Diceros bicornis minor: one gene and its partner. The protein of the gene in region 1 interacts with the protein of each later gene in a biochemical or structural test. Links are inferred from orthologs where the notes say so. Each region holds a gene or a part of one and is shown on either strand. Other genes may lie near its edges. The genes, in order: RNF14 and ubiquitin-conjugating enzyme E2 E2.

The links.
Region 2: the proteins of RNF14 (region 1) and ubiquitin-conjugating enzyme E2 E2 form a complex in vitro, tested with the Homo sapiens proteins (2 studies listed by BioGRID). The link is inferred for Diceros bicornis minor from reciprocal best matches to the Homo sapiens genes RNF14 and UBE2E2.

Annotation. Positions count from the first base shown.
Region 1 is NC_080740.1:60,074,395-60,089,925, reverse strand, and holds the start of RNF14 (E3 ubiquitin-protein ligase RNF14), read right to left. Parts: upstream 8,252-15,531; 5' UTR 8,217-8,251; exon of another isoform or gene 8,157-8,216; intron 8,150-8,156; exon of another isoform or gene 7,893-8,149; intron 5,913-7,892; 5' UTR 5,737-5,912; intron 4,288-5,736; 5' UTR 4,272-4,287; coding exon 4,118-4,271; intron 3,056-4,117; coding exon 2,904-3,055; intron 86-2,903; coding exon 1-85. UniProt on the Homo sapiens protein: E3 ubiquitin-protein ligase that plays a key role in the RNF14-RNF25 translation quality control pathway, a pathway that takes place when a ribosome has stalled during translation, and which promotes ubiquitination and degradation of translation factors on stalled ribosomes.
Region 2 is NC_080741.1:28,440,986-28,456,476, reverse strand, and holds the start of ubiquitin-conjugating enzyme E2 E2, read right to left. Parts: upstream 7,707-15,491; 5' UTR 7,626-7,706; intron 6,979-7,625; exon of another isoform or gene 6,914-6,978; intron 2,388-6,913; 5' UTR 2,380-2,387; coding exon 2,204-2,379; intron 1-2,203.

The DNA of each region.
Region 1 (15,531 bases):
TAAGAAACTGCATCCAGGCAAACAGGACCACGCTGCCACGGTGTTCTTCCCACAGGTTGTCTAAGTGTTTGCAGAGAGCAGATAGCTAGGAAAAAACACATGAGGATGCTGGTGAGTTTGGAAAGATGATGATGCGGTGAACTCTTGATTCCTCTTGAAATCTTTTTAACTTGTAAGTTAGGCCATTACACTTCCTAACAAAATGTTTTACTGCTGTGATAAACTGTGGGGCAAAAAAGCACCAATATTCTTATCAGAGCACTTCTTAAACTATTCAGCAACACCAGCCACAGCAGAACACAAAGTCAGAAGCTAAGAGAAGTACCATGAAAACAAGAGAAATGGCAAGACTCCACAAGATGCAGAACTAGGTTTACATGTGAGCTACTGAAATGGAGGATTCTTTCTGTTCTTTATTTGTTCTTTGTTTCAGTATTGCTATATATCTCATGTAGGAGAAAGGGACCTAGTTCTAAAATGAACTATTTCTGTTCCTTTGGAGTTCTAACTCTGTAGGTACCCTGCAATAATGCTTAGAAAGAGAACAGTTAAAAAATACCATCCAAATTTTAAAATTAATTCTAACTTTCAGTCCTATCAAAAAGCCAATTCATGGGAAAGAATCACTAACAGAATCCAACCTCAGAGTCCTTATTATTCACATTTAGAAGCTGGGCTTAACAAGCAATCTGGGCTTAGACCAGATCCTGGTCAATGGAGACAGGCTGACATTGAATCTGGTCATGATTACAAACCTTCAACGTGGTTTGGCAGCCACAGGGAAAGCTCATATTTCCTAAGCTAAGCAACCAAAGTTTAAACTATTGCAACTTTTCCTCCTTAAAAGTGGTCTGTTCAATTTGAAAGACAAATATAAGAAGATTTTCCACTAGAAATGTAAAATATTTGTAAGTAGAGCTCAGGAATTATAAGCAGCTTTTCTTTTTAGGTAAATATAAAAAATAAGCCTTCCAGAGGCCAACAAATTTTGTAAATTTTAAATAAGTGAAAAAAGACCACCTTTTCTGCCCCTTGCTCTGCATAGTACTGTTCACTAAATCCTACATGGACACAAACTTAAACACTTATTGTGTTAAACAGTTCAAGACTGGACACCTTTTTCACACTTGCATGAATATGCTGATAAGATCAACCATGCTTCTGAGAAACCTGCTGAAATCTGTAAAATGTAATAAATACTAAAATGGAAGTTCTGAGTGCTGTTTGAGCCATGAAGTCCAATGAAAAAGTCATTCTCCTCCCTCTTTTCTTCTCCAGCCCCTTTTCAAAAGAGGCAGCTGGGATGCACATAAATGTGAGCGAAGGGGAAAGAGAAAGAGGAAAAGAGCAAGAGAGAGACTGTGTATGTATATATATTGGGGGAGAAATAATGGAAAATACTAGAAAACTAAACCCACTTCCCTTCTATCTACCAATCCCAATTCAGTGAAAGACAGGTCCATGTAGCAACTTTATCATCAACAGGTGAAATTCATAATGCCAAGGACTCAGGGCCCAGCAACAAACGAGAATTGAACCAAGAAGGAACATAAAAGACCAATTAAAATGTCAATTATATGTACACAAATTTATTTGATAAAGAATCCTACTGTAATTTCACAAATGATGAAATGTAACACATAAAATAATAAACACCTCTCCTCTCCTCATACCCCCCAAAAGCTAGCAGTAAGTAGATGCTATTTGCCTGGAATCTGAAACTGCAACCACACACCCAGTTAATCCGTCTTTGTTTTGTGCATGTATGTGTGTGTTTGCACATATCCATGGACATAAAGTATCAACAGCTCTCTGGAGAAAGGGGACTATAAATATCTAAATAATTCAGGCAACTCTCGATGATCTAAATGTCAAGCAGCCTTGATAATTTTGGGCAAATAATGCACTATCTTGTATGTCTTGCCTCTGGCACAGATATTAGAATGTAAGGTAATATTCCTTTTTACTCTACTTGTATTATCCTCTTTTAAAGTTTAATTTTGTTTTTAAATCATAAGCTCAATTTTACAAAAGCACTCTCATCTAAATTACTGGACTGGGGGAGGAGAATGAAAACTACATGATCAAAAAGGAAAAACTGACAAGCTGTTCCTTGAGGTCAAGTAACTGACAGCTTTTGTCTTAATATACATCAGCCTATCAATCTTCATCATGACTTCCTGGAAAGCAGCTACTATTGATCCATTATCTATTGCAGAATAATAATTTATATTCAAGTTATATTTATGTCTCAATCAAGAGTTGAGGTTGTTACTAGAAAAGAATATATAACTCGGAGGAAATGACGGTTTATAATATAAGGTCTCAAGCTTTCATGAGATATCTACAAGAATCACACATATTTCTATTGTGTGCATTTATATCTGTGTAAGACCAGTCAACAGTTACTGTTATTAACATATACAGATCTTTAAAAATAAAAGCACTTATTATGTTTACTTAAAAATTGTATTTTACTTAGGAAATTATTATAACCACATTAGCTCAATTTTAGTCCTCCTAATTACAATTAAATCTTTCACTTGAGGAATGGATAAGAAACTAAGGAAAAAAAAGTAATACCAACATCTAAGAAAAATGAGGACGACCCTATAGTCTCCATTATAATACAGATTAAATGGGAAAATGGTAAGAAACAATATACTTGATTAAAAATTACTCCTACTGCAATTCATAATGATTAATCATTCTAATTATTGCCATTCCTTTCTAAAACACATTTTCAATTCATTAACATTAGGATTCATGAAGGGAAAAAAATTACAAAATCAAAGCAATTTGTTCTTCATGCACTGAATTCAAGATCACCAAGCTAGTCTTCAATTAAAGATGATTTTTTAAGTTTTTAAAAATGGATAGGAGAAATTAGTTTCGGGTCTAACCTGAGTTGGTGACAGCCATTTGCCACTAAGTGTGAATGAAGGTGGGGAGGAGGATGGATAATCTGGTGGCAGTTCAAAGTTCAGCACAAGTGGAGGCAGAAAGCAAATGGTGTATTCAAAGCCACTATTCGGGAGACACTCATTTGAATTGCCTGAACCAAAAACAAAGATGAGAAAGGATCAGCTGGTCAACACTTGAGTGTCCATTACTGTTGAGCAGTGCTCAAGAGAGACTTAATGCTTTAGTTGAGGGGATAAAAACCCTCCCCCAAAGCCCTTTCTATTCTCTAATTTTAATTTTGTAGCCACCAGCTTAAAAAAAATCTTGTAAGCCTTTGAAAAATCTACTAAGCACCATGAAATTTATAATGAAGATACACAACTTACCTTTGTATACACTTTTGAGTACAATTCCTAACACTAATGAGCAAGTAATACACAATGTTTTCTGTTGTTGTTGTTTTATAGTAGATGATTAAAGACACAATCCAGAGAAAAGGATGTTTATTTCTATCAAAGTGCCATGACCTACTTAGACCAGTATGTGCCAACTACCCATGAATCATAGCTGGGAGAATCTGTGTCAACACAATGATCTCAGGATTGAGGGCAAGATACAACACACAACACTTTCAAAATCAAAGTTTCATTTTAAATGATCACACTTACTTTCCTTACTCAATGCCTTTATAGCAGAAACATTTTGAGAAAGTGTGCATCAGTCTTCTGTGAACATTTGTATCAAAAGTGGCAGTTTTTTGTTTTTTTCTGAAGGAAAAGGTCACAGAGTAACAGCACGTTATGTGTTTGTGGTAGCTGAAATGATTCTGGAAACCAAATACTATTAACAACCACCACGGTACTTGAAAGCTTTCCAAGTGTTTTCACATATATTATTTCGTTTTCTCTTTTATTATCCCTATTTAATAGCCAATGACTCATGGCTAATGAACTGCTAGTTAGAAGACGATTAGGATGCATGAAATATGCAGGATAATATCCAAATTCAGTGGTCAAAAAGCCAAATCATACTGAAAACTGTTTATCCCCCAGTCCAATTTTCAATTAAAACAGAAACATGCATTAAATCTGTAATACTACCATCTATCACTAATGCATATAAACACAAGATGACAAATAATTTAGCATACACTAAGAAATTGAGAATAACCTTTATTTAGAAAAATCTGTTTAAGAGAATATTATTAACTAACCGCTCACAAATATCTTGAAATTTTGTGGCAAGTCCAAATAGATCCTGGTTTCTCCACCTTGGACAGATTCTGCTTTTCTAAATTCATCTCCATCATAAATACTCGCCAGGGCCAGCAATTCATCCTCCTGAGCTTCTCGGTCTTCTGACGACATTTAACTTTCTGAGGAGCTGAAGACAATCATTTCAATCAGTTAAGAACAGAAAAGGCACAGTTTGGAAAAGTCTAGTGGCACCAAAAAAGAAAAAAATTTTTCCTCACAAACAACTACAAAGGATTAATCAATATTCTCACTTTTCTGCTAAACTAAAAATGACAGGCATATCTAATATTACAGTAGCTTTGCAATAGTAACAGCTTTTTCAAAAAGGATGGTTGTGGTGCTTCTAATTGCTGACTTGAGCAGTTAGGTATAGCTGTTTAGGGGAAAAAAAGCAAAATTAAAAACATTTTTTAAAAACAGGACAAATCACATATTACTTTGACTTGCCCACTAAACCTAGCAAAGTGCCTTGCCCACAAAAGGAGTGAAAGTATATTTGATACACTTCTTAAAAACAAATGAATTTTAAAAATCCACAGGAATCTCTAGGGCAGGTTTTCTCTACCTCAGCACTACTGACATTTTGGAACAAACAATTCTTTGTTGTGGGAGGCTGTCTTGTGCATTTTAGTATATGTAACAGCATCCCTGGCTTCAACCTACTAGATGCCAATAGGGTATCTTTCCCTCAAGAGTTGTGACAATCAATAATATCTCCAGACATAGCCAAATCTCCCCTCCCTCATGGGGTGGAGGTGGGGGGACATAAAATTGCTCCCCATTGAGAACACCCTGTTCTAGAGAATGTTACAGGGACAGATACTATTTAAGACAGTTAGACTACGGAGGAAGCAGCAAAATAACATTAAATTTTTGAAATACCACCGGATTTTATCAAATCAATTTTAAGATTTACCGTTATTTTGGGGAATGCTAAGAATAAAAATATGCTACAATTAAAGTGTGAATCAATGCTTTTTTTTTTTTTTTGGTGAGGAAGATTGTCCCTGAGCTAATATCTGTGCCAATCCTCCTCTATTTTGTATGTAGGACACTGCCACAGCATGGCTTGATGAGAGGTGTGTATGTCCGTGCCTGGGATCTGAACCCGTGAACCCCAGGCCACCAAAGCAGAGCATGGGAACTTAACCACTACGCCACGGGGCTGGCCCTGAATCAGTGCTTTTTAATCACAGCAACTGAAAGATGCACTGTAATTTCAGATAATTTAAATATGGAAAAAATATGTAATGAGAATCTATAAAAAATTACTTTAATAAAACAACAACAAAAAATTACCACTCTGTCAATTAAAATATTGGGCTATAATTGCACTTGCAAATATGCTCCCACTTGACTAAAATATTTTTTTTAATTGAAATGTGTAAAATTGAAAAGTTAGGACACAGTTTTTCACATTATAAAAGGTGACACTACAAAATTTAGACAAATTCATTTAAAATGATTCCATTTTCAAAAAACAATTTTTGTCAGCAGATGATAATGGTTCAGCTTAAGCTGCATCCCTATCCCAAATAGAACACAGTGACAGGTTCTATTCGAGGTCAGTTAGTACCTGTTAATAACAACTAGAAGAAAAGGATATTAACACTGTAGTCTGTATTTCAGTTCAGAATTTGGAATTCATGGAAATCCCATTTATTCTCCAGGCGGTGGAGATGAGATTGCTGAAGGTGGATAAGAGGCCAAGATGTGGAACTCATACTAGATATACTATAGAAATCTTGCCATCTGCAGAAAAAAAATACAAAAGATGGTGTTAGGACCCTCTCCAAATTTAAATTCTGAATTTCCATTATCACACTTAAACACATCCTAACACACAGTCAATGCTAATCTACAGCTGCATATTACTGTCCTAGGACAGCCCAACTGAGCCACGTGGTTATAGAGGCATCTGCAGGTCCCCAGCAATGAGAGGCCTTCTTATCTGACTGCCTTCAGCCCTGGGAGGAGCTTAGGAGGAACACCAAGCTCATATGAGAGGACAGCACACTGTGCCCCAAAACAAACATCATCTTGGGTTGTTTTTTTCCTCCTTTCCTCTTCTGCTTCTTCTACTCCTTCATTTCCTATCCCCCTCCAGTTTTCCCTCTCGCCTATTAGCAGTATACTTCAAAACAAAACAAAACAACAAAAGCACTTGCACAACACACACACAAACTTTTAAGTTCTATTCTAAAGGCTTTAGAGGCAGGCTTCTTCACTGGGAGTGAGGGGGATGGGGTGGGTGGTCCATAGATGGGTTATGGAGAATCCTATGAACACCCTGAAATTGTATGCAAAAATATTATGTGAAACCATAATTTTTAAACCAGATTCCCAGATGTGTGACTCCCAAATGAGCTAAGAATGAAATACAGACTCAATTTACATTTATTGAGCACCTACTATGTACTGTATTTAGGTCCTTTCACATTACCTTATTTAATCTTAACAATCTTACCAGGCATAGTACATGGTGATAACACAAGCTTTTTGTTTCTTCCTGTTTAAACATTCATAAGTGGGGTGAGAGATGAATTTATAAAGTTTCTGGAGGTTAGTGTTCTCCATCTTGTCTGCACATTAGAATCACCTGAGGAGCTGCTTTTTAAAATTTCAATACCCAGGCTGTACTTTAGAGCAATGAAATCAAGCATCAGCACCTATCCAAGCTCTCCAGGTGATTCTAAAGCACCGCCAGGATTGACAAGCTCTACTCCAGCAGTGTTTCCCGTCAACAGCTCCTCATGCCCTACCCCACCAGACCCCAGCTTCTGAAGCTGCCACTGGGTCCCAACCCCTTAATTCATGATGCTGACCTACATTTCCTTCTGATTCTATCCACTCAGCCTTCAAGACCCACCTCCAAAGCCCCTATTCCTTGTAGAAATTTCCAATTAGACCTCGTTTTTCTCTAAACATCCCACAAACTTTTTTACTGTAACTTTCCTATGACATTCACATCCCACCTCGCATTACAGTAGTTTAAGAACTTGTACTTCCTCTCCTTCCAGACTACATTAGTTCCTTAAGGGCGAGGATCAAGTCTTTTGCATCTGTGTATTGTTCTCAGCATCTAGCACTGCCTTGCATTAGACACTGGAAAAAATGAGAACTTATTTCTAATTTTTGGGGTGAGATGCAGTGTGCTGAAATGGGGGACCAGAATTACAAGGTTCAGTTGCTGCTCTGCTACATCCCACTAGAAGCAGGAGACGTCGGTCGTCACAATAACAGCACGAACAGTAACAGTGAGCTCTTACCGTGTGTCAGGCATTGTGCTAAGCCCTTTAAATGCATTAACTCCTGTTCGAGTCCCACAACCCCAGGAAGCAAGTCGTATTACTACTTCCATGACACCGATGAGAAATGACAATTTAACTCCCTTTCTGGCCCAAGGTCACCCAGCTAATATTTAACTAAAGCTGGATTCAGACCACCCTGTTTCTTCATCTGTAACACAGGAACTAGAATAAACCCGGCGCCATTGGACGAGAGATATTAAGTTTAATATCAGTTCTGGCAAACCGGAAACCGCTACCCGAGTGAGGGAAGCCCCTCCTCCGCCGGGTCTCCCTCCGGCCTGGGAAAAATCCTACTCATGCCCCCAAGGCACACCCTTCGGACTTCAGCCTCGGAGTCAGCCGTGGCTTCGGGATCCGCACTGCCGCCGGTGTCTCCACTGCTCGCCACCCCGCGGGCCGAGTCGTTGTTTGTGCGACTCACCTACAACCGGGGGGCAGGCCCAAGCCTCGCAACCTGCCCGGCGCTGGGACAGAGGGCGCTGTGCGGCCGCGAGGGGCGGCCCCGGGCGTCCCGAAGGAGCAGGGCCTGGACCTTCTCCTTCCTCCTCCGAGCGCCCCGGCGGACCTCGGCCGGGCCGGGCTGGGGGCTCCCCGTCCCGGGTTTGGGGAGCTGAGGCCCACGGAGCAGTCCCGGCCCGGCCGCCCTTCTCTGCCTCGAGCGCCCGGAGCGCGGTCCCCACCGTACCTTCCGGCCACTAGGCCGTGCCGGGCCCGAAAGTTCCGCCCTTGCCCCAGGTTCCCTCACCGCCACTCTGGCCCAGCCTGCAGACACCCGGCTCCACCTGCGCGCCGCCTCTTCCGCCTTCGGAGCTGTCAGCTGAACGGGGCGGATCGGAGGGCTCTGCGCAGCCGCCGTGACCGCCCCCGTCCCTTGGTCGCCCCCTGCTGGCCGAGGCGGCGCCGCGGGCGCGACCACCGTCACCCCCACCGCTGCCTGCATGTCTTAGTATGCCTCTGGAGAAGTTGATGCATATGCAGATTCTGGGTCCCCGTGCCCAGGGGCCTCCTTTCAGTAGTTTTGGGATAGGGCCCGGGAATTAGAACTTTTACCAATCCCTGGAGGTGATCGTGAGGCAGCGGTCTACCTGGGGCAGACACTCCCCTAACAATCCAGACCTGCTCCTCCACGTAGGCTAAGCAAGCCTCCTCTCCCTCCCGCCATCCCAACTACCTTCTCAGAAATGCTGCTCATCTTTCTGACACCTCCACTAGGAAAGCATTCACTCATTGTTCATACTGTAATAGTAATAACTACCACGTTTATGGAGCAGTTAGGATGCTTCAAACACTTTGCTAAGTGCTTTATGTACATTTTCTCTTTATCTTCACTATAACCTTACGATTTAGATACTATTTATTATCCCCACTTTACAAATGAGGACGTTGAAATTTAGAGAGGTTCAAGAACTTACTGAAGGGCACATGATTATTGAGAGGCTGAGCAGGAATTAAAATTACATGCCCCCTACCTCATGCCATATACAAAAAATTAGTCAAGATGGATCAAAGACCTAAATGTAAGAGCTAAAACTATAAAGCTCTTAGAAGAAAATGTAGAAGTAAATCTTTGTGAACTTGGGTTAGGTAATAGTTTCTTAGGTACCACACCAAAAGCATAAGCAGCAAAAAAAAAAAAAAAAGATAAATTGGATTCATCAAAATCAGAAATTTTGTGCTTCAAAGGACACTATCAAGAAAGTGAAAAGACAACTCACAGAACAGGAGAAAATATTTGCAAGTCATGTATCTGACAAGGGTCTAATATTCAAAATATATAAAGAACTCCTGCAACTCAACAATAAAAAGACAACCCAATTTAAAAATGGGCAAAGGATCTGAATAGACATTTCTCCAAAAGAGATATACAAGGTCAGTAAGAACATTAAAAGATGCTCAACATCTTTAGTCATCAGGGAAATGCAAATCTAAACCACAATGAGAAACCACTTCACACTCACTAGGATGGCCATAATAAAAGACAGATAATAACAAATGTTGGTGAGGCTGTGGAGAAATTGGAACCCTCATCTACCGCTGGGAATATAAAATGGTGTAGCCACTTTGGAAGACAGTTTGACAGTTCCTCGAAAAGTTAAACATAGAGATACAATAAGATCCAGCAATTCTACTCCTAGGTACATACCCAAAAGAATTGAAAACATATGTTTGAACAAAAACTTGTACACAAATGTACAAGTACATTTGTATATATTTACATTTGTATATATTTATTTATGTATAGTGTACCTAAATGTACACCAAAGCAGCAATATTCACAATAGCCAAAAGGTGGAAACAACTCAAACGTCCATCAATGGATAAATGGATAAACAAAATGTGGAATACCCATACAGTGGAATATTATTCAGCTATAAAAAGGAATGAAGTATTGATGCATGCTACAACATGGATGGACCTTGAAAACGTTATGCTAAGTGAAAGAAGTCAGACACAAAAGGCCACATATTGTATAATTCCATTTGTATGAAATGTCCAGAATAGACAAATCCGTAGGGACAGAAAGTAGACAGCCAGAGGCTGAGGCAGGAGAGCATGGGAAGTAACTGCTAATAGGTGTGGAGTTTCTTTTAAGGGATGGAAATAATGTGGTATTAAATAGTGGTGATGGTTGCACAATTTTGTGAATATACTAGAAACCACTGGCTTGTACACTTTTAAAGGGTGAATTTTATCATATGTGAATTATATCTCAAAAAAAATTTAGGTACAAAGCACTGTTCTCAACACTTAAGCGGGATGCTGAAATGTTGGTTCCTGCTTCTGGGAACCTTCAAACTAATGTGCCCCTAATGATCTAATAAGCTCCTGTGTCCTTCTTATCATATACTTCTCCCCACAGGAAAGCAACCTGCGGAGCTAGGGCTCTAATCCAAGCCTACAGGATTCTAAAAGTTTTCACCACCAGTGCCTCCCAGGCAGGACTGGCTTCATGGGCCAGCCACCTGTGCAGTCACACAGGACCCTGTGCTCAGGAGGGCTTCAGGCTTAGAAGGACCCTGCTCTTGGTTTAATGCTCTGCTATGGCCATCTTGAAATTCTTCATACTTTTCGAACAAGAGGCTCTGAGTTTTCATTTTGCACTGGGGTCTGCAAATTATGTAGCTGGTCCTGCACCCAGGAGATAAGAAAAACCAAGTGGGTAAACTGAGGCACTAGAGGTGCTTACCTGGCTGCCACAGAGGGAAAACCTTGAAATGCAAATAAATAATCATTCCTAATTTTCTGTACTGTCACAGAACAGAAACCTAGCTACCCCTGTAATAGATACCAAAACCAGAAACATACTCCTTAAAAATGCAAAGGAAGGAAGAAGAATCTCTGAAGCCATTCACTAATATCATTATTCTTGTTTAGCCAAAAGAAATAAAACCAAGAGCAAAACGCCTGGCAGCCCTACCTCAGAGTGCTCAGAGGTGAGACCGTGAGTCCTGCCAGAGACCTTCCGATGCAAAAAGTGAGGAGCCTAAGAGTTAGCTCGGGAAATTCTCACAGAATCAGAGCAGGAGGTGAATTGTGACATCATGTCGTGACCTCATATCAGATGCCACAGGATGGAGGGCAAAGAAGAGAGACTTTCAAAGCAATGGTAATAGTTTGGATGAATGTTCAAATCGGACTCAATATTTAGAGACAAGTTTTGAGGTCAGGATTGGATAAAGAGAGTTTTCTAATAATTTTTATTTTTTTGACTACATAAAAATAACAGACTTTCATGTCTTTGGTTTCACGTGCCTGAATAGTCTTTTTGTTTTTTTTGTGAGGAAGACCCGCCCTGAGCTAACATCTGATGCCAATCGTCCTCTTTTTGCCGAGGAAGATGGGCCCTGGGCTAACATCCGTGCCCATCTTCCTCTACTTTATATGGGATGCCGCCACAGCATGGCTTGATGAGCGGTGCGTTGGTGCGGGCCCAGGGTCTGAACCAGCGAGACTTCAGGACGCCAAAGCGGAGCGTGCGCACTTAACCAATGCGCCACCAGGCCGGCCCCATCGTGTGCCCGAATGGTCTTTTAAATTGAGCTTTCCCCATGTGCCCAGCCTTCTACTGTGTTAAGAACTTTACATGCATTGTCTCATTTGAATACCCAGGACCCCATGACTGAGGTAATTTTGTATCCCCATTTTACAGATGAGCAAATTGGGGCACTAAGAGGAGAAGTGATCTGACCCGTGTCATACAGTGGTGACAGACAGGATTAAGACCATTTCCTCATCAGTGTGACCCTCTCCTGTAGCCTGTAAGAGAATTAGAGTTTGTTGTAACAAATACAGAGAGAACAAAATAGTTCTGGCCTTAAGAATTAAAAGAGAAAGCCCTAGGGAAGTTAGGAATAAAGTTTATGACATAATGATAGGCGAGAATGAGCATACAGAGAGAGAGAAAGAGACCCAAATCAGTTGCCTGTCCCCAGGGACACTAGATGATGGAGTCTAGGGCTAGGAGAGGGTGGCATGTGTGACCTAGACCTGAGGTCAGGACCCAGTCCATTGGGTTGAGAAGCAAGAGTGAGTCACAAAATATGTGTAGTGACTGTAGGGACTGGCAAGCCTTCCGTCAGTGCCTACGCTTCTTCCCATCCGTTGCTGGCGTCCAATGGATGTCCAGAAACTTTGCTGAGCTCATCCCACCTGCTCAGTGGGGGCAGCCTCCTTTTCAATGGCCACCACTCACAAGCACCCCTGAAACAAGCCTTGACACACAGAGGGGCATCAGTGTGGAGGGGAAAGCCCTGTCCCAACTCTGGGATAAGACTGGAAAGTGGTGAGCCCCACCCCAATACTATAGAAGTATCACTGAATTCCCACTGGTGTCTTGTCATTGTGTATTTGCTCAACATGTAGACCCGAAAAGGTTTACTATCATCACACGGGAATCTGAAAAATTGGTTTTTCTCTAAAATGGGGGCTTCATTCTAAAAAAGAAATTGGGAGCTACTACACTAAAAGCACGGTTATCAAGAACTAACACTGAGTGCTACCCACATCCCAGGCCCTGCTCTAGATGCTGTGTATTGACTAAGCTAAACCTTACAGCAACCCTATGGCATAGGTACTAGCAGCAGCAGCATCCCTATTTTAAAGCTAAGGAAACTGATCACAGAGAAGTTAAGTGACTTGCCACTGTCACACAGATGGTAAATTTCAGAGCCAAACTTTAAACCCAGGCCATTGGAGTCCTGAGCCCACATCATTAACTCCAATGCTTTGCTTACATCAAGTTAACACTTTGCTCAGGGAGAATGGTCAGTTGAGTGTGTAAAGATAAATAGCCAGATCACCTGCGCGATCAGCTTCCCTGGTCAGTGCAGTGCAAACAATACCTTAGGCCATCCCAGGTTTATAGAAAAACAGATTCCTAAAAAGGCTTGAGACGGCTGATAGTACAAAATGTTTTCTGTGCTTCTGATGCAAGGTAAAATTTGATTTACAATAATAGGCACAGAATGATCATGTTTATACTTGCAACCTGGCATTTTATTATTATTCCCCTGAATAACAGTGGAAAGAGTTTTGTAACCCCAAGGTAACATGGCTCTGTAAGAAGGAAAGAGGGGTGAGATTTAGCAGCAGCTGCCATCATAAATCAGTGTGTGGCTGTTTCTCCTGAGCTCCAGGCTCAACTCCTGGCTGTCATAAACTTCTGAAGGGAAGCCCCATGAGAATTTATGTAACGATGGGAAGACTCATTCTCCTTCCTGCAAGAACCTTTCTGAAGCAAGGTGAGAATTAGGTTCATTAGATTCCATGTGAAGAAAGAAAACCAAACCAATGGTTTAGAGGATGGGAAAATGTGGGTCAACTTCAGCTACTTCCCTTGCCAAAAAAAAATTGACCTTGTAAATAGAGAACATGCTGAATTCCACCAAATAAATGAATGACAAGATGACTGACTAAATTAATGAATGAGTGGGATCCCGGCTTCCTCCGGGGTGGTTCTTTCAGTGTGAGAACAGTTCAATTCTGGAGTCACCCAGAAATGATGAATACATAACAAGGCCAATCAACATAGTCAGCTTCTGAATATTCATGCACAGATGATGCTCCCAGTCAATATGTTTGATTTTTGTGTTTGCTGATGGATTTTCAAATTCACTGTGTAAACCAAAAACGAAAAAAAGAAGAAAACAGAAAAGAAACTTGTGTTGAGAGCATACATTACTTCTGAATAGGCTTGCCAGATAAAAATACTTATACTAAAAAAATTTCCATTGGTTATCTGAAATTCAAATTTAACTGCATGCCCTATATTTTTATTCGCTAAATCTGGCAACCTATTTCTGGGCTAATAACCCTATGTAGAAAAGAGGGCTGAGGACAGTATCTTGGGGACAGGCCCACATCTGGGAGTCAGAAGGAAGAAAAACCAAAGGAGGAATCAGAGAAGCAGACAGAAGAGTCTGCAGAAGTATGGAGGGGGGACCAGGTGTGCACAGAGCTTCTGCTGAGCAGTGACACAGGCGCAGGGGAAAGTAGGGACCAGGAGGATGCTCAGTAAGAAAGGCCTGATGGCTATAGAGTTTGGTCCTTACAAAGTTGCTGGTGCTTCTAAGACGTTGTAACTCAGTGGTTCTCAGCAAGTTGGGGTGGAGATGGGGTGCATGTCAGAATGACTTACAGAATATCAAAACTGAAATCTACATTCTGGAAGTAGCCTACTTCTCCTCTGGGGGTTGGGGAGAGAGGCATAATATATGAGTAACCCTTATCAACTCAGAATTTATGTAGTCCAGTTTTGGGGCCCTGATGTGGTTACTAAAGCACAAAATAAATTCTAAATATTTTCTAGCATTTTTCTTGAAAAGCGAAGGAGATCCATAGTTACAACCATTCATTCGAAAGTCCTTATCTTCAACCTACTTCCTTCCCAGCCCCTGCTGTTCTTTAGCACTCCCTCCATAATTTCCTGAACTTTCAGCAGTTCCTCTCCCCTATCTATTTTTCCTTTTATTATGTAGATGAATTAAGCTTCTTTTTCCAGCAAAAAGGTCCAATCAACTTCCCCAATCCCTGTCCCAAATGATCTGAAAGATGAAGGCTTTTTGAAAGGGGGAGAAATGGAGCTGGCAATTATGAAATTCCCTTTGGCAGGCTGGGAAAGGGAAAAGTATGATTTTTCTCGCCCTGTTCATGGTATTTTGAAAAGCTTTCCAAGTGATTCTGATATCTGGCCCATTTTGAGAGCTACCACTCTTAAGCAAGATACAAAGCCTTTTCATTTCTTGAAAAGTCCTATTTCTTGGCAAATTTCCCCCTGCAGAGTGCATTCTTCTTTCTGTACTGGGCTCAGAAGGAGGAGACATTGTGTGGGAGTGGACCTCTGTCATCTATCCCAACAAAGTGCCATGCCAGGAGCAGATGACCCAGAACATCTACCTGAGTCTCCCAGTCAAGATTCCTGGCCAGACTGGCTCTAACTTCAACAATATCCTGTTGAAAAACAAGAGGCTGACCTTGGGTGGTCCAGTCACCTTCTCAATCAGAATGATTCTGAAGATGAAGCTTCCCAGCTTCATCAAAGCTGCCTTGGTGGTGGTGACTGTGGCAGCTGCTGGGCAGATTCATGAGGAGCCATGGGGGTGGGCAGCCAGCCCAGCAGGACATTCGTAGTGTGAGGCATGATCTTAGCCTTCATCCAGCTGGCCTGTGAGTCTCCCAAGGGCCAGAGTCCCACCCTGCTGGTGTGACCCCTCAAGGTTCCTCAGGACTCCAGGCATTTTGAGAAGATCCTCTGACCCCCATCTCTCCCACTCAGCCCCAGCCCCTTCCCATAGCCAAGGACCCAAGTGTGAACAACCCCAAGGTTGAGCAAGACCTCCAAGCACCAACCTCAATCTGCCCTTTAAAAAAAATACATTTTGGACTTAAGGGAGACTGTCCTCGGCTGTTTTAAACGTATTTCAGAGTATCTCTGCAACTTCAAACCTATTTTCAAAACTCAGGATGATGAAGGCTCTCCAGACAAACTCCAGTGACAGCTCCATTCACCCCTCAACATGTGGCTGCTAAAGATCAAATGACCCCTGCAGCCGGAAAGGAGG
Region 2 (15,491 bases), on another chromosome or scaffold:
TCCCCTATTAAAGACGGGGGAAAAAAGAAAACTAGGTTTGAATATATAATCTATACACACTGTAGTAAAATGAAGATGACCCACATACTTGAAAAATTCACACAATCCTCACTTTCACACATTATACAGTTCACTCTCTTTCATAAGCAGAAGCAGTCTTTGATACATCACCCAAGAAATATGATTTTGAGTTATTTTATGGTGATGCTCCCAGCCACAGGAAAAGGCAGGGCCTCAAGAAGGTGGACAGGAGTTTTTGCTAACTAGCAGTCACAGGAAAGCAGAGCGCAGATCCAGGAGAAGCTCTCTCCAAACCCCACTCCTACACACCTGGCCAGCCCCTCCTCTCTCTTTTCTGACAAGCTGAAGAGGCCCTGTGAAAACCCTCACTATCAGAAGCTGAGGACTGAATTAGAATTTCCTCATTTACATAGGGCCACAATCTGTACTTGAATCTCTCTTACCCACCCACCCCCAACCTCCTTTCTTTCATCTCAATGGCCCTTTTCTCTCCATTCCCACCTTTCTTATTCATCCTATCTCCACCCCCACTTCCCAGCAGCAGGTCATTTTGTGTTGTAGCAGGCAGCAGAGGGGCCAGGTCAGCCAGCTTAGGCCCTCTGGACTTGTGATGTGATAGCAAAAACAAACTGAACCCTTTTCCCCACACAAGCATGTTCTAGTATAGAAGTTTAAAGGTTTAAAGTTCGCGGCTATCTGACTTTCACACAACTCCTTCAACAGAGGTCAGGGATCAGCAACACACTTCTGGGAAAGGGAAACCGACTACCCTAGTCCCTTGGAATGGATTGCTGACCACTCACCGTCACTCCAACATCTCTCCCTAGAAAGTCACATGCCACCAGTGGGCCTGCGAAGGTTCTTCCCAAACCTGTGGATTGACTAGACCAGAGGAAAACAAGGTCTACTGACCATAACGGTTTTTGATCTTCAGGAAAGGAATTCCCCCTAATTGACACTATCCAATAAAATATAAAGCTATCAGTCAACATTCAGACATTTGACTATGCCTAAAATTTACAGACTGTTTTTATTTACACTACCTATTTGATATAAAAAAGGTATTAAAACAAAATAAGAAGATCAAATCACAGGATCAGGAAAGACGCTACTAAGTTTAATTTACCTTTAAATTATTTTCCAAGAGATATTCTATAAGTTAACAATATTAAAGCAGATTCCCCTGCTGAGTCCAATAACACGCCTATCAGCATAAGCAATTGATGTGGCAAGAGAATCATCCAAATATCTACCTTCCAGATCTATCTATTCTCTAAAGAAAAAGAAAATCTGTATCAAGACTGACCCACTGCCTAATATAACGAACCCAGGATGCATTAGTTGCTAACTCCAGCATTTCTCACTTTACTAACAGGGAGTAGTAGAAAATATACTATTACTCAATAACTATTTCAGTAATCTATTTCAATAGATTCCTACTCTCTATTCTGTTACTGAACAGAATAAAATATTTATGGTCAAGTAACTATAAATCAGACCACCACACTTTCACATGTGTTTTCTTGTATATGCTCACCTAAGAATACACAAACACACACAAACACAATATGGATATGTATTTTGTGCATCTGCCAAGTTGTTTTCGTTTGCGCCCTCGAGTCAATTCTGACTCTGGGTGCAGCAGAGCAGAACCCTGCCAGGTTTTTTTGCACCATCCTATTATCAGACAAAAGTTCTGCTGCTATTCACAGGGTTTTCATGGCCAATCTTTTCAAAAGTGGATGGCCAGGTCCTTCTTCCTAGTCTGTCTTAGTCTGGAAGCGCCGCTGAAACCTGTCCACTATTGGTGACCCTGCTGGTATTTGAAATACCAGTGGCATAGCTTTCAGCATCACAGCAACACGCAGCCGCCACAGTATGACAACCAACAGATCGTGGCTCCCTGACTAGGAAATGAACCTCGCCCCTGGCGGTGAGAACGCCGAATCTTAACCACTAGACCACGAAGGCTGGCTGCCACGCTGTTTAACTGATTTTAAATACCAAAAAGTTCATATTGCCTACAATTAAAACCATGTAAAAGAATTAATATTGAAGGAGAAAGAAAAATCCATGAACTTCATGGTCCACATACCAGAAAAATGAGTAAATGCAACAGAAAGACAGAACTTAAGACAATAAAGTGATACTACAAATAAAAAGGTTACAATAATTAAGGTACCTTTTAGCACTAGTTGACAATTTAGCAGCTGTTTTGCTGGATATTTTTCCCTCCTTTTTCTTGGGCTGAACTTGCTCTCTTTCTGGTTCTTGCTGAACACTTTCACGTTGGTCTCCATCAGAACTTCCTCCACTAGTACTTGGACTGTCATCAACTCTTTGTGCCTCAGTGGACATTTTAGATCCTGGATTAAAGAATCAAAAATCATTTATTCAGTTATGGGAGGACTATAATAAGGTACCTTGAGAATATAGAGAAAGTGAGCCTCAAAGTGGAACAAGTAAAGCTAATATAAAATGAATAAGTTTATCATTTACAAAACAGCTTTGTAAGTTGTCAAAACTTTTCTTTCATCCATTCAAAATGTACTGAGAGGAGAAATGAAAACATACAAAATATATAGACAGAACGTTCACAGCAACATTATTCATAGAGCCAAAAAGAAGAAACAACTCAAATGTTCACTAACAGATGATGTATCCACACAATGGAATATCATTCAGCCATATACAAGAATGAAGTACAGTATCTACATGCTACAACAAGGTTGAACTTTGAAAACATTATGCTAAGTAAAACTAGGCAGTCACAAAGGACCACAAACTGTACGATTCCATTTACATGAAATGTCCAGAATAGGCAAATCCAGAGAAAGAAAAGTGAATAAGTGGTTGCCAAGGGCTAAGAGTGAGGGAAGAACGGGCAAGGCCTGTTCATAGGTATAGAGTTTCGTTTTGGGGTGATGAAAATGTTCTTAAATTAGATAATGGTGATGTTTTGCACAACTCTGAATATTCTAGAAACCATTGAGTTACACACTTTCCAAGGGTGAATTTTATAGTATATAAATTACATGTCAATAAAGCTTTCTCAACAAAAAAAAATTGAGGGCTTACGCCCTACCAGACACTGAGGTAGGCCCTTTGGTCCCACAAGCATGAGAAACTTGGTCTAGTGGGTAAGCCAACTGTGCTAAGTGCTCTAACAGAGGTTAGCAAAAACAGCCACAAGGACAGAGAAATGGGAGACACTTTCACATCCATATCCAATGAATAAACCCTCAGGACAGAGCTAAGGTTAAAATCCTCTAAATACTAGTCAACTGTTTTAAGTATCCTTTGTGATAACAGAAGAACACAGAGGCCCGCATGATTCTAAATAAAAACTGAACTGTATGATGGTGTCAGCATTGATCCAGCAATATACCAAACAACCATGTTTCACACGAGATGGAGACTGTATTGAGACACTGAAAGATTCTTTTTTTTTTCCTTCCCACAGTCTGGATGAAATATCCCTTAAGGCTTTCAAACTCCCTTTGCTCTGAGTTCATGCTCCCCAAGCAGCTCTGATTACAAACTCAATTTCCTCAATACCTTGATACATAGGTAGCTGTAAAAACCTAGAGAGCAGACACAAAAAATTAAAGTAAGTGAAAAAGGATATCCCCTCTTAACTGTCATTCTATCATAACCGATTTCTGAGTTTGATTACTATGAACACAGCCCTTATGATCCAACTAGCTTAAAGTGTACTGACAAATCCAAAACCAAACTGACAAAACCCAGATTCTAAAGGGCCTTGTGCTCACCACGTTACTGTCACCTAATAACCTCTTTGAGCACCGTATAGCGATGATCTCAGGTTCCTCTTCATTAAAAAACAAAACTACCTTTAAGAAGTGACATTAACAACACAAAATATATCTTTAAAAATCATAGATAAATGGAATAAATTCCTTTTGAAAAAGATACTATATTACTCTTAATCAAATTAAGACTTGAAATAAAACTGTATTTGCTATGATCAAGAGTAAGAATATGTAAAAGAAAGATACCTCAAATAAAGCACTGTTTTTTATTACTGTAATTAGTCCAAACGTATAGCTACTTGACAATAATGAAAATTCGTCATCACCAAAGATTTAACTTGTACCTTGCTCTAAATCAAAGCGATTTCATAATACAGACCTGTAATAGATTGAAATTTTTATGTAAGACAAACCAAAAAGCATTGCAAGGGAAGGGAAGAATCAGGAAGCACAGAAAGGGGAAGAGTCAATAGAAAATACCAAATGCCTTCAATGAGACATCACCCAAACACACCACCACCACCCCTCTCAACCCCAACAGCTCCCTTCCCCCATGCCAAACAAAAATAGCTCTGCCCAAGCAATTCTGAAACACACTGACAGGAAAATCTGACTGCTTTTCTACCTATCCTGCAAATGGAGAGCATCAGTCTCCACAGCTGTGACATCTTTTATGAGCACTAAAGTCACTTAATAGAATACTGAAATTTTATATCAGTATGTTTCACATCTAACTCTAACAGTTCTAACATATTTCTTGCTTTTTTTTCATTTTTATTTCACTTTAATTCTCATCTTTGGATTTAACACTGATTTTTTCTTCAGCTTACTTCTTTCAGATAAAATATATCAGAAGTTTAAAGCCTTATAAGTATGCACATAAGAGCATGTTAGAAAGAACAGATGCGCATGGGAGTGAGAAAAAGAACAATTCTCAGGGAAAGGCCCTCTGATATAGCAAAATGCTGCCGGCAATATTTTAAGAAACGTGAAATAAGTGAGAAATTATTTTATACATCTTAAACCAGAAGCAATACATTACACGACAAATATATGGAAATCTAAATGAAATAAAATTCTTTGTTACTAAAGCTGGGGCTTCAGTTTAATAAACTGCCTAGAGTTTCAGTTGTATATCACATTAGTTATAAAGCTACACATTCTTAATATTCTTATCACTTACATACTAATACTGCCATGAGTGTATAATTACTTAAAGGACTACTCAATGATGTAATGTGAGCCATAATGTGAAACCCAAATTTCATCAACTGCTCCAGAATATCAGACTAAAATTAGTCTCACTACAAAACTATTAAAAATACTATTAAAAATACCCAAATAAAGGTATAATTTCTACAGTTTCACAACAAAGAAAAAAATCTATTTCCACTTTTGATCTAAGATACTTTATTTCATCCAAATCTTAACTTATAGATGATAAATTCATCTGAGGCCACTAATAACCACTATAGAAACTTTTAGAAACAAAGTTTTCATATTTTTTTCAAATATCAAGATTAAGGCAAATTTCTTCTAGTTTTGTTTTTTGAATGCCTAACTACAGAAAAAAGTATGAGAAAAAAACTATTGCACCACTCAGTTGGCAACTAATGTTTATGAAGAAAAAAGTAGTCTAGGAGCATTTTAATTAGTTATAAGTATAAAATTGGTGTTTTGTCTTTCTAAAGTACAAATGAATAAAAATTCCTGAATTAAAACTCCTTAAATGTTATCTCCTAAATCAGTATTTTAAAAATCAGTATTTTAAAATTATCTTTAATTTCTAAATAGCTAATTTGATCCAATCATGCAAGCTAGAGGGAAGATAAACTTAAATCCCAGGGTTATAAACATAGAGCTACACTTCGATTATGACAGTTTCAAAGATATTAAGATATTTAAATTTATATTTTTACTTTAGACTCAAAGTAAAACTTGGTTTCTAAACATAAAACAGTAAGGTAGACTTACCTCAAACATGTGTTATTTTAAGTATTTAGATATTGTTCCTTCTTCAACACACAAATTATCTAAGGCTATATTAGCTATATACTCTATGTTCTAAGTACAGTCCTGGAAATTAGCAACATATACATAGTGAATGAAACTCACATGTTCCATAAAAATAATTTGGTTATAAATATTACTGATAACATAAAACCAACTATAGTCACTCCATAAATCTGAATTACAGTCGAGATAAGCCTTAAATCTGTATCTCATGGTATAAAACTGCAAAAGCAAGTGTTCATTTGAGCTTTTACAACAGGAAAACGCTTAATTCTGTCATTTGATATCTTCCTATTTGTCTTCTTACGTTTCTAAACTTTTCTAAAACGGAAAATAAAATAATTTATATTATATGCACAACATCTAGCAATATTAAGCTCTTAACTGTAAAGATATTTATGCAGGAAGTAACAGTGAAACACCCAATTTTTGAGGAAAAGGTGCTATGTCCTGGAGGAATTAGAATGGGGTACGACAATACATGGAAACACTCCATCATCAGCATCAGCCCACATACAAAACTCTAAAGAACCAAGGCGCATCCAAACTGAGTAAACACAAATATTTAGATTCCAAGGTCCAGACTGAATTATTACATATTCAGAAACATACTTTTTAAAGAATCAGGGATAAAAAACTAAGCACGAGATAATCTGAAGGTAAACCTAGCACTTCCTTTCGTACTTTTAAATAAAAATATTTGCGTAGACTCTCAAGAATACACAACACAAAACCACGAATCTTGAAAACATGCAAATAGGTCTAACAGCCACGGAGCACAGGATGATGTCTTTCTAAAGCGGCCTTAATTTCCTTAAGGGAAGATGGATTGGACATTTCTGGTTGGTCGTGGGGAAAAAAAGCCACAAGAAGCTACGCTTTATCTTCATTAGAAATGGTAAAGGGCAAAAGGATCAAAACATTATGAGACCTGGAGGGGGGGCGGGGGGGGGTGACAGAGGGAATCCAGTTTCAAACCAGGCCAGTGGGGGCTGCAGAGAAGAGACCAGAGAAAAATGGGCTTCAGCTCCAAACTGTGACAAGCGCTAGGCTTCACAAAAGACAAACAGAACACACACTCCACACCAGGGCATACACAAACACACCCCACAGGGTCTCCTCCAGGCGGCCCACGGCGGTGCAGCGGCGGCGGGATAGCCAGACCCGGCACTCGCCAGGAGAGACACCATGTGCAGCAATTATGCAATTAGGGAAAATAGCAAAAGATCAAGCCGGGCACTTTCCACCGTGACATTTATCCTGTACTTTTGCGAAGACTTAGTTCCAGAATGCGGCTGGGAGAGGGAAAGGGCTGGGAGGGTGGCGGAGGATGGGGAACTGAGAACGGAAGGGGGTAGAAGATGGGCAGGGAGGGAAGAGGCAGAAGGGGGTGGATGGGAAGGAGGGGGAGGGGTGGAAAGGGCGAGAAACCGGGGCAGGAGGCTCGTGGGAGGGGGCGCAGGGAATGGGGTACGCGGGGGAGCGGGGAGGGAGGTAACTAGGGCGCAAGCAGTGTAAGCAGAGACCTGCGACGTGGAGGGGAGGTGGGGGGCGCGCCCGCGACAGGGAGGACGCCCGAGGGCGGGCACCAGCGCGGCCCGGGCGAATACCTGAGGGAGGGGCGTCCGCGCAGGTCGCGGGCTCGAGCCCAAGTGCGCGGAGAGAGGGCTGCGGAGGCGGGGGGAGGGCGGCTGAGGAAGCCCAGAAGACGGGGTGCCCCCGCAGACCGTCTAGTCACCGAGAGCCGGACCCACGCACCACGCACCGGACCGCCCGGCCACGCCTGTCCCCGCCGCGCTCGCGCCCGCCCGGACTCACCCTCAGCGCCGCCGCCGCCGCCCCCGGCCGTTCCAGCTCCGGCTCCCGAGGCTGCTGCTCGCGGCTGCCGGTGTGGCCGCCCCTCAGTCCTGGAAAGTGAAGCCACCGCCTCCGTGAGCCGCTGCCGCCGCCCGGCCGTCCGCGCGCGCGCCCGCTCGGGAGAGACCGCGAGAGCGCGAGCCCCACGTCGGCCGTGCCGCGCCGCGCGCCTCCCTGCCCCCCCACCCGCTCCGCCCCTCCCCCTCCCCGCGCGCGGCCGCGAGGGGGCGGGGGCGGGCGCGCGCACGGGCGGGCTGCCCCGCCGGCCGGGCGAGGGGGCGGGGAGGAGGCGCGGAAAAGTAAAGTGACAGCCGAGTCCCGAGAGCGGGCGCGGGGGGGCGCGGAGCATCCCACGGAGAAAGAACGGCAGGGACCGGGAGAGGTGAGGGAAACAGAGACTGACGGGGCAGCTTGAGGGGAGGGGACGCGGGGACCTTGACGGGCACGCGCATTAAAGGGAAATGCTGGCTGGGGGTGGGTGTTGCCCTAAGACCAAGCAGGGGACGGCGTATTACCCCCATCTACTGCGGCCCTTGGCCTCACACTTGCCTCACAGCTTTCCCGAAGCAGCTACAGGGACAGGGTCTGACCCTGTTGACATACTAACCAAAACTCGACGCGTGGTGCCCACATGCACCCAAGATGGGAAAACTTCGCATTGGCCTGGAAAGCTCTCCAGGCTGAGCCAGACTCTTCACCTGACACGGCAACACGAATGTCTTGCTGCCTTTTGGCTTGCCCTGACCCAGAATGTACACTAGTAGCCGGGAGCTGGAGCTCCAGGCCCTTTATCGCTGGGATACTGGGGAGAGAGGTGGGGGGAGGGGGTAGCAGCAGTATCAGAGCGAGTGGGAATTTGCCTTACTGCCCGGTTGAAGGGTATGGAAACAGCAGTGCTGTGGGTGACCCGAGGGAACATTAGGTTCCCCTATAATCTTCACCCCAAGTAACCATTAAAAAACAAAACATTATGCCTGCTATACAAACTCAGCTTCCACATAATTTCCCCTCCTCCGTCTCCAACCCAGCCCCTCTTACCAAGTGACTGCTACTGCTGCTCCTAAACCTCTACTATATAAAAACTCAGGAGCTGTTACTGTATGTGGAGAAGGTGTCCTGCCCAGACGGAACTGAAGACAGCCCCACAGAGCCCAGAGCAACTCAGGCAGCTAAAGATAGTGCAATAAGACCCCAGAGGACAGGAGCAAGTCAAGATCCATTCATATGTCTAGACGTGAAGATCCTTTTACCAAATGCCGTCTACAAAAATTGACTATTACTTTATAACATCCCTGAAAATTGCCAAAAGCAGGTGTTGGTTTCTAGCCTCCATTAATCACCATTGAGCAAAAAGTGGATGTTTTCTTGTGTATCACTTCTATGTATCACTCAAGGATATCAACAGGCCGTGTTACCTTTAAACTCTAAAATATATATTGGAGGAATAGAAATTACCATATCCTAGGATTATCATCAATTAGATAGTCACCTATATCTCTCATGTAGTGCAATATATTAGTAGGAAAAGATGACATAAAATGCATCTTATATGTTTGCTTTTTAATTTTTAGAATATGACCAAACTAGAGCATTTCATAGACTGCCTTAAATGTGTGCATAATTTATCGCATGAAACCTTTATATATTAATATTTTCATTTTACTGATTATGTTTCAGTGTGTTTTGCAACTGTTTGGTGAGGGTGGATGACAGAATCCTCATTTCCTAAGTCTCTATGCTTTTCTCCAAATAAACTACTCTTATGTATACTCTTAGGTATATATCCAGTTGGTTTTTGTTTGTTTACAATTAGTATTTTATAACAAAATTCTCTTCTATTACAGAAAGTATCAAAGTTGTTTTTTAGTCCTGGTCATTGGTAGCTGGGGGCCAGGAATGCAGCAATGTCAGCTTCCAACTTTATGGAAGGATTGGAGGAGGTTTCCCTGCTTAAATGCTGAAACTGGTTGCTACAGTACTTCATTTACCTGTAGATGTTTTAACTGCTGTATACTACTTACTAAGTTTAAGAAGGGTATACTACAAATCAGAGTTACCCTTTTCATTGATTCACGGAATATTTATTGAGTACCAGGTGCTGTCTAGGTGGTTGGGATATGACATTAAAGAGAAAAATCCCTGTCCTCACAGAGCTTCCCTATCTTTGACCCTGCTCTTTGTTTTACAAGCTACATCCAATTCATCAGCAAATCCTGTTGACTCTGCCTTCAAAAATATATCCTGAAAGTATCTGCTTCTTCCCACCTCCCTTCCCATAGCTAATCTGGTCCAAGCCACCATCATCTTTCAATAATAGCCTCCTACCTGGTCTTTCTACTTTCCCTATCCACTCCCCCTACCACCACACCCCCCATCCCCACACATGACAATCTGAGTGATCCTTTAAAACATAGGTCTCTTCTCTTCTCAAAACCTCCAGTGGCTTCCCATCCTAGAGCAACAGCCAGAGTTCTTACAATGGCTGCATGGCCCTATATGATCTGCCTGCCACCCCCAACCAAGACCTCTCTGCCTCACATTGTACAACTTCACCCCATCCTCATCTCCCTCCAGCCACACTAGCCTCCTTGCTATTATGGAACACATCAAATATTCCTTGGCCTCAAGATTTATAATTTCCTATCTCTAGAACATTCTTCCCTCCTACCCCTCGCCCAGCACTTCCTATCCCCCTCTTCTGCTTTATTTTTCTTCATGATCATCATAATAAATCTGACATAGTGTTTTTTTTACTTATTTATTTTAGTCTTCCCCTTCTCCCCTCCTCCTCCCTCCCACCTCCTCCACATATAAGCACCTTGAGAACAAGGATTTTGTTGGCTGGGGTTCATTGTTGTATATATTGAATGAATACTGGTTAAGTGAATGAAATTGACCTCTTTCAGTTGATGGCATGTTAGACATTGTTCTGATTTCTTCAATAACAGTAATTAGCACTTACTGTGTTCTTAATTTGTACCAGACTAAGTTCCAGCACTTTACATAAATTAGCTCACAAATACCCCATAAGGTTGGTTTTATTCAGTCAACCCTACTGTACAGATGAGATCACTGAGGTGCAGAGAAATTCAGTCACTAGGCCGCAGTCATACAGCTAGGGAATAACAGAGCTGGGATTTGAAATCAGCAGTTAGACTCTGGAGTCTGTGAACTTCAGGACACTTTAACATGAGTCCAGTGTTACAAACATAGATTTTACTTGATTTTCTCAGTTCCTTTCCCCTGAGACTCAAACTTGGTCTCCAAAACAAGTAGCTCACCTTCCTTGTATTTCCTGCCCTGGTCCATCAATCTGTCATCATGAACTCACTCTCTCCTACACTTCTTATTTCTGGGCTTTAATTTAGAGCCTACCTTTTTTCCACTAGAATTGGCAAATGGGAATGTTTTTTGGAGGGCCCTTCTTATAACTTTCGTTACTGCCAACTTCATGAGTAGATAGAGTCACAATTAGTTTTCCAGTTTGACTAGAAGAGTGATAGAAAAGACCTGTCTGGGAGTAACTGCTGGATTTCAGCAAAACGCATCATACTGGCAGAGCTGTTGCTTGTTTAGGCAGCTTCCATTCTTATTAGGCACCCAGTAATCAGGGGTTGTTAAATATTTGGATTGTACCCCCTGGAAGAAATATCATATTAGCTTAAGTTTACCAAAGATTAGGACCCTGAGAGAATGGGATGGAAGAGAATCATCTTTTGCTTACAGCCTGGTTTGAAAGGGGCTATAGGCACCCCGTGGTCACTCTGAATGTCTTGGATACTTAAGAAGGACAACACTGATGTGGCAAAAGTGAAGCTCCATTAAAGCTTAGACCCTAGGACCTCGTTACTTAGCATAATACCAACACAGAGGCATGCACCAGGTGTTGGACAAATGTTTGTTGCATAAATGAATAAATGGATGAATTCCTAACAGGGAGTGGAAGAGTGCTGGGGACAAATCCCCCTGACTTCCCCACTTGGTCAGGGACTGCCACCTGAGCCACGATTGTATATGTTGCACACTGCAAAATGTCAGGGGGCACCATTCACATAAATTAAGATGCAAACACAGAAGTTTGGCTGCTTCTCCCACCCCTAGCCCCTGCCCAAGCATGGTAGTCAGTCTCTAAGATGGCCCCAGTGATCCCTGCCCCCTGGTATTCACACTCTTGTGTAGTACCCTTCCACATCATACCAGGGTTGGTAGAATGCTGAAAAGTGATAGTACATCACTTCCGAGATTAGTTTATAAGAGACATTAGGGCTTCCATCTTGGTTGTTGGCTCTCATTCTCTCTCTTACTCTCTCTCTCTCTCTCTCATCATTCACTCTGGGAGAAGCTAGCTGCCGTATTGTGAGCAGCCCTACAGAGAGGCCCATGTGGCTAGAAACAAGTCTCCCACTGACATCCACGTGAGTGAGCTCAGGCTCAGATCCTTCTGCTTTAGCCAAGCCTTCAGATGATGCAACCCTGCTCAACATCTGCAGTGCAACTTCATGAAAGACCCTGAGCCACAAACACCCAGCTAAGCCACTCTTGAACCTTGAGATAAAAATGTTTGTTGTTTTCAGCCACTAAGGTTTGAGGGTAATTTGTTATGCAGCAATTGATAATGAATACACGTGCTTTCTGCTCTCTAATGATGAAGTTCCCTCCTCCAGGCGGCTACATATCAGGGATGCTACTGCTGTGGTAGTTCCTACAGGCAAGGAGTCCCACTCATACTGAAATGGGCTATTGCAACCAACTTCCCAGAAATACAGAGGGGCTTCAGTAGATGCTGAGATATGGGTAAAGGGTCTGAAGAGAGAGCGTAGGCCAGGAATGGAAAAAAACAGAAGTGGTTCAGAGGCGTCATCTTTAGACACAATAGAAGTAAGAAAGGAAGAATCTGCTCTGAAAAAGACTGTCAGAACAGAGGAAAGAGTAATGACATGTAAGAGTCAGAGCTTTGCTGAGCAATGAGATTGTAGGTAAGGTTTTCTTTGTTATAGTTGTTATATTGTTATTAGTACAATAAATAAAGATATTTTAAACTTAGGGAACCTCAGAAGGAAACAAACAAAGTCAAAAGGAGGGAAAGTCTTGCCCTAATTTACACCTTTCTTAGGCGGTACAAAGATGCTTCAGAACTGGGCTATCTCGATTCATAATCCTGGCTCTGCTTCTTCCTTGCTGTGATCATGGACAAGTTACTTAACTTCTCACTGACTCAGATTCCTTGTCTACTAATGAGGCTTATTTTAATGGCTAATACTTACATAAGGGAAGAGAGAAGATTAAATGAGTTAATATATGTAAGCAACTTAGAGCTTGAAATAAAACGAATGTCATAGAAGTGTGAGCTACTAGTCTTCCTAGTGCTTTGATAAGTGGGAGGTCATGTCACCCTCAAGTCTGGGTTTTATCTCACCTGAGTTTGCCACTTTTTCTTGCACATAGTCTCCCGGTCAGTCACAGCAGCATGTCTCCTGCATCCTGTACTATTTAAAAGCATATGTCCCCTAGTTTGCTGTGAGATACTCAAGGGCAGAGACCAAGCTTATTTATCTGTGTGTCTACAATTTAAAGAGTAGGCACCCCATAAGGGTTGGTCAAATTAACGAATATCCCTGCTTTTCAACTGCTATTTCCCCAAATTATGGAACTTTGGGAGGTAGGTGTAATTGTTCCATGTCGTTCATTTCAAAACCGTTTCAAAGAATACTCTTTACTCTTTCTTATAAATTCAGGAAATATATTAATGAATATTTTCCAGAGCTTTATGAACCCTCTGGCCCTCTCTGAAGATTCCATGAAGAAAAATTGTGAAATCTCCTTATATATGGCCACAATGAAAAAAGATACTATTTGTTGTCTTTATCTTACTGCTTTTATTTTTCTCTCCAGTCATCTTAGTACTCCCTTCTGTACTTGGAAATGCACAATTTTTTAATATACCTTTATCAAGATATAATTCACTGACCATACAATTCACCAATTTAAAATGTGTAATTCAAACGTTTTTAGTATATTTGCATATTCGTGGGAGGGCACAATTTTTGTGAATGGAGAAGAATAAAGACTCTTCTGCTCTACTTCACTTTCTATCTATTCTGTTATATTTTTCTGTTGACCGGGGCTTACTGTGAGGACCCTGTAGGTAAACAATTTGTTTGGGCTCCCTGGGATTAGTAGTCACACCAGGGTCAAATGAAAAGGTAGCATCATCAGAGAAGCCAAGTGTCAAGGCCCCCAGTTGGTGATTTATCTTACTAGTCTGGCCCTATTCAGGTTGTGTCCTGGGACACTGGCATCTCCCCTGTATCAGTTGAGTCTTCCAGGATGCAGACACCAAGATGAAGTTAGAAGTGCAAGAGATTTATCTATGTATCTATGAAAGAAAAAAGGAAAGGGGAGCAGGAGTAGGCAGGGAAATCCTTCAGGCTACAATGCAGGTTTGACACCTGTGAAAGGAGAGAGGAATGAAGGAGGATTGAGTAGGAAGAGCCTCAGATGGCAGCACAGCTCTAGTGCAGTCTTGTCCAGCCTAACAAAAAGCTCCAGTGCAAAGACTGCCCCTAAAGCGGTCCCACATTGGGCAGAAATGGCCAGATCCTAGTGCGTCCGTCATACTTAGTCATTTGTTGAGACTCCCCAGGAAGAGCATGTCCTTGGCTCAAAAGGTAAGATGGGTCCTGAAGGCATTTGTAGCTGGAAGCTGTCTGCTAATTGATCTCCTCACATCTGATAGGCAAGTTCTTTCTTGAAGAGTGATCCAAGCCCTGCATCTCCATAGCTGCACACTCCCTTTGCCTCTTTGTCATCAGAACTCCACATTCATGAATATAGTTTGACACTAGACTTGTGTTCGTCCATCTGCCTTGGACTTGCTAACTTGGATGACCTCCTTCACTCATGCTATTGCTCACCGTCTCCACTTTAACCTAGGTTATAAGCTTTGTGCTTTTTTAGGGCTGGCCCCGTGGCTTAGCAGTTAAGTGTGCCCACTCCACTACTGGCGGCCCGGGTTCGGATCCCAGGCGCACACCGACGCAGGCTTCTCCGGCCATGCTGAGGCCGCATCCCACATATAGCAACTAGAAGGATGTGTAACTATGACATACAACTATCTACTGGGGCTTTGGGGGAAAAAAAGGAGGAGGATTGGCAATAGATCTTAGCTCAGAGCCAGTCTTCCTCAGCAAAAAGAGGAGGATTGACATGGATGTTAGCTGAGGGCTGATCTTCCTCACAAAAAAAATAAATAAGCTTTGTGCTTTTTTGTGTGTGTGTGAGGAAGATCAGCCCTTAGCTAACATCTGCCAGTCCTCCTCTTTTTGCTAAGGAAGACTGGCTCTGGGCTAACATCCGTGCCCATCTTCCTCTACTTTATATGGGATGCCACCACAGCATGGCTTGACAAGCAGTGTGTCAGTGCACGCCCAGGATCCAAACCCGGGCCGCCAGCAGCGGAGCACGTGCACTTAACCGCTTTGCCACCGGGCTGGCCCTTAAGCTTTGTGCTTTTGATTATAGCTGATATCCTGCCCCTAATTCTTTCATTTGCATTTGCTTAATAGTTGATACATTCAATCCGATGCTGTGCCCAACTTTCGTTAGACTGGCCTCAGAGAATCAAAACAAATGCCTGAGTTCTTCTTCAGAGGTTTAAAGTTCGAATGAGTAGAGTATTAGGTTTCTTATTAATTCCTATCATTTCTCTCTTTTAAAGGTAAGAGAAAGAGGCCCACTGAAGGAGGCTCTGAAGAAGACATAAGAATTCAAAGAGTTGGCTTCTTTTTTCACCTAACATGTTCCAAAACTACATCCCTAAGAAGTTGT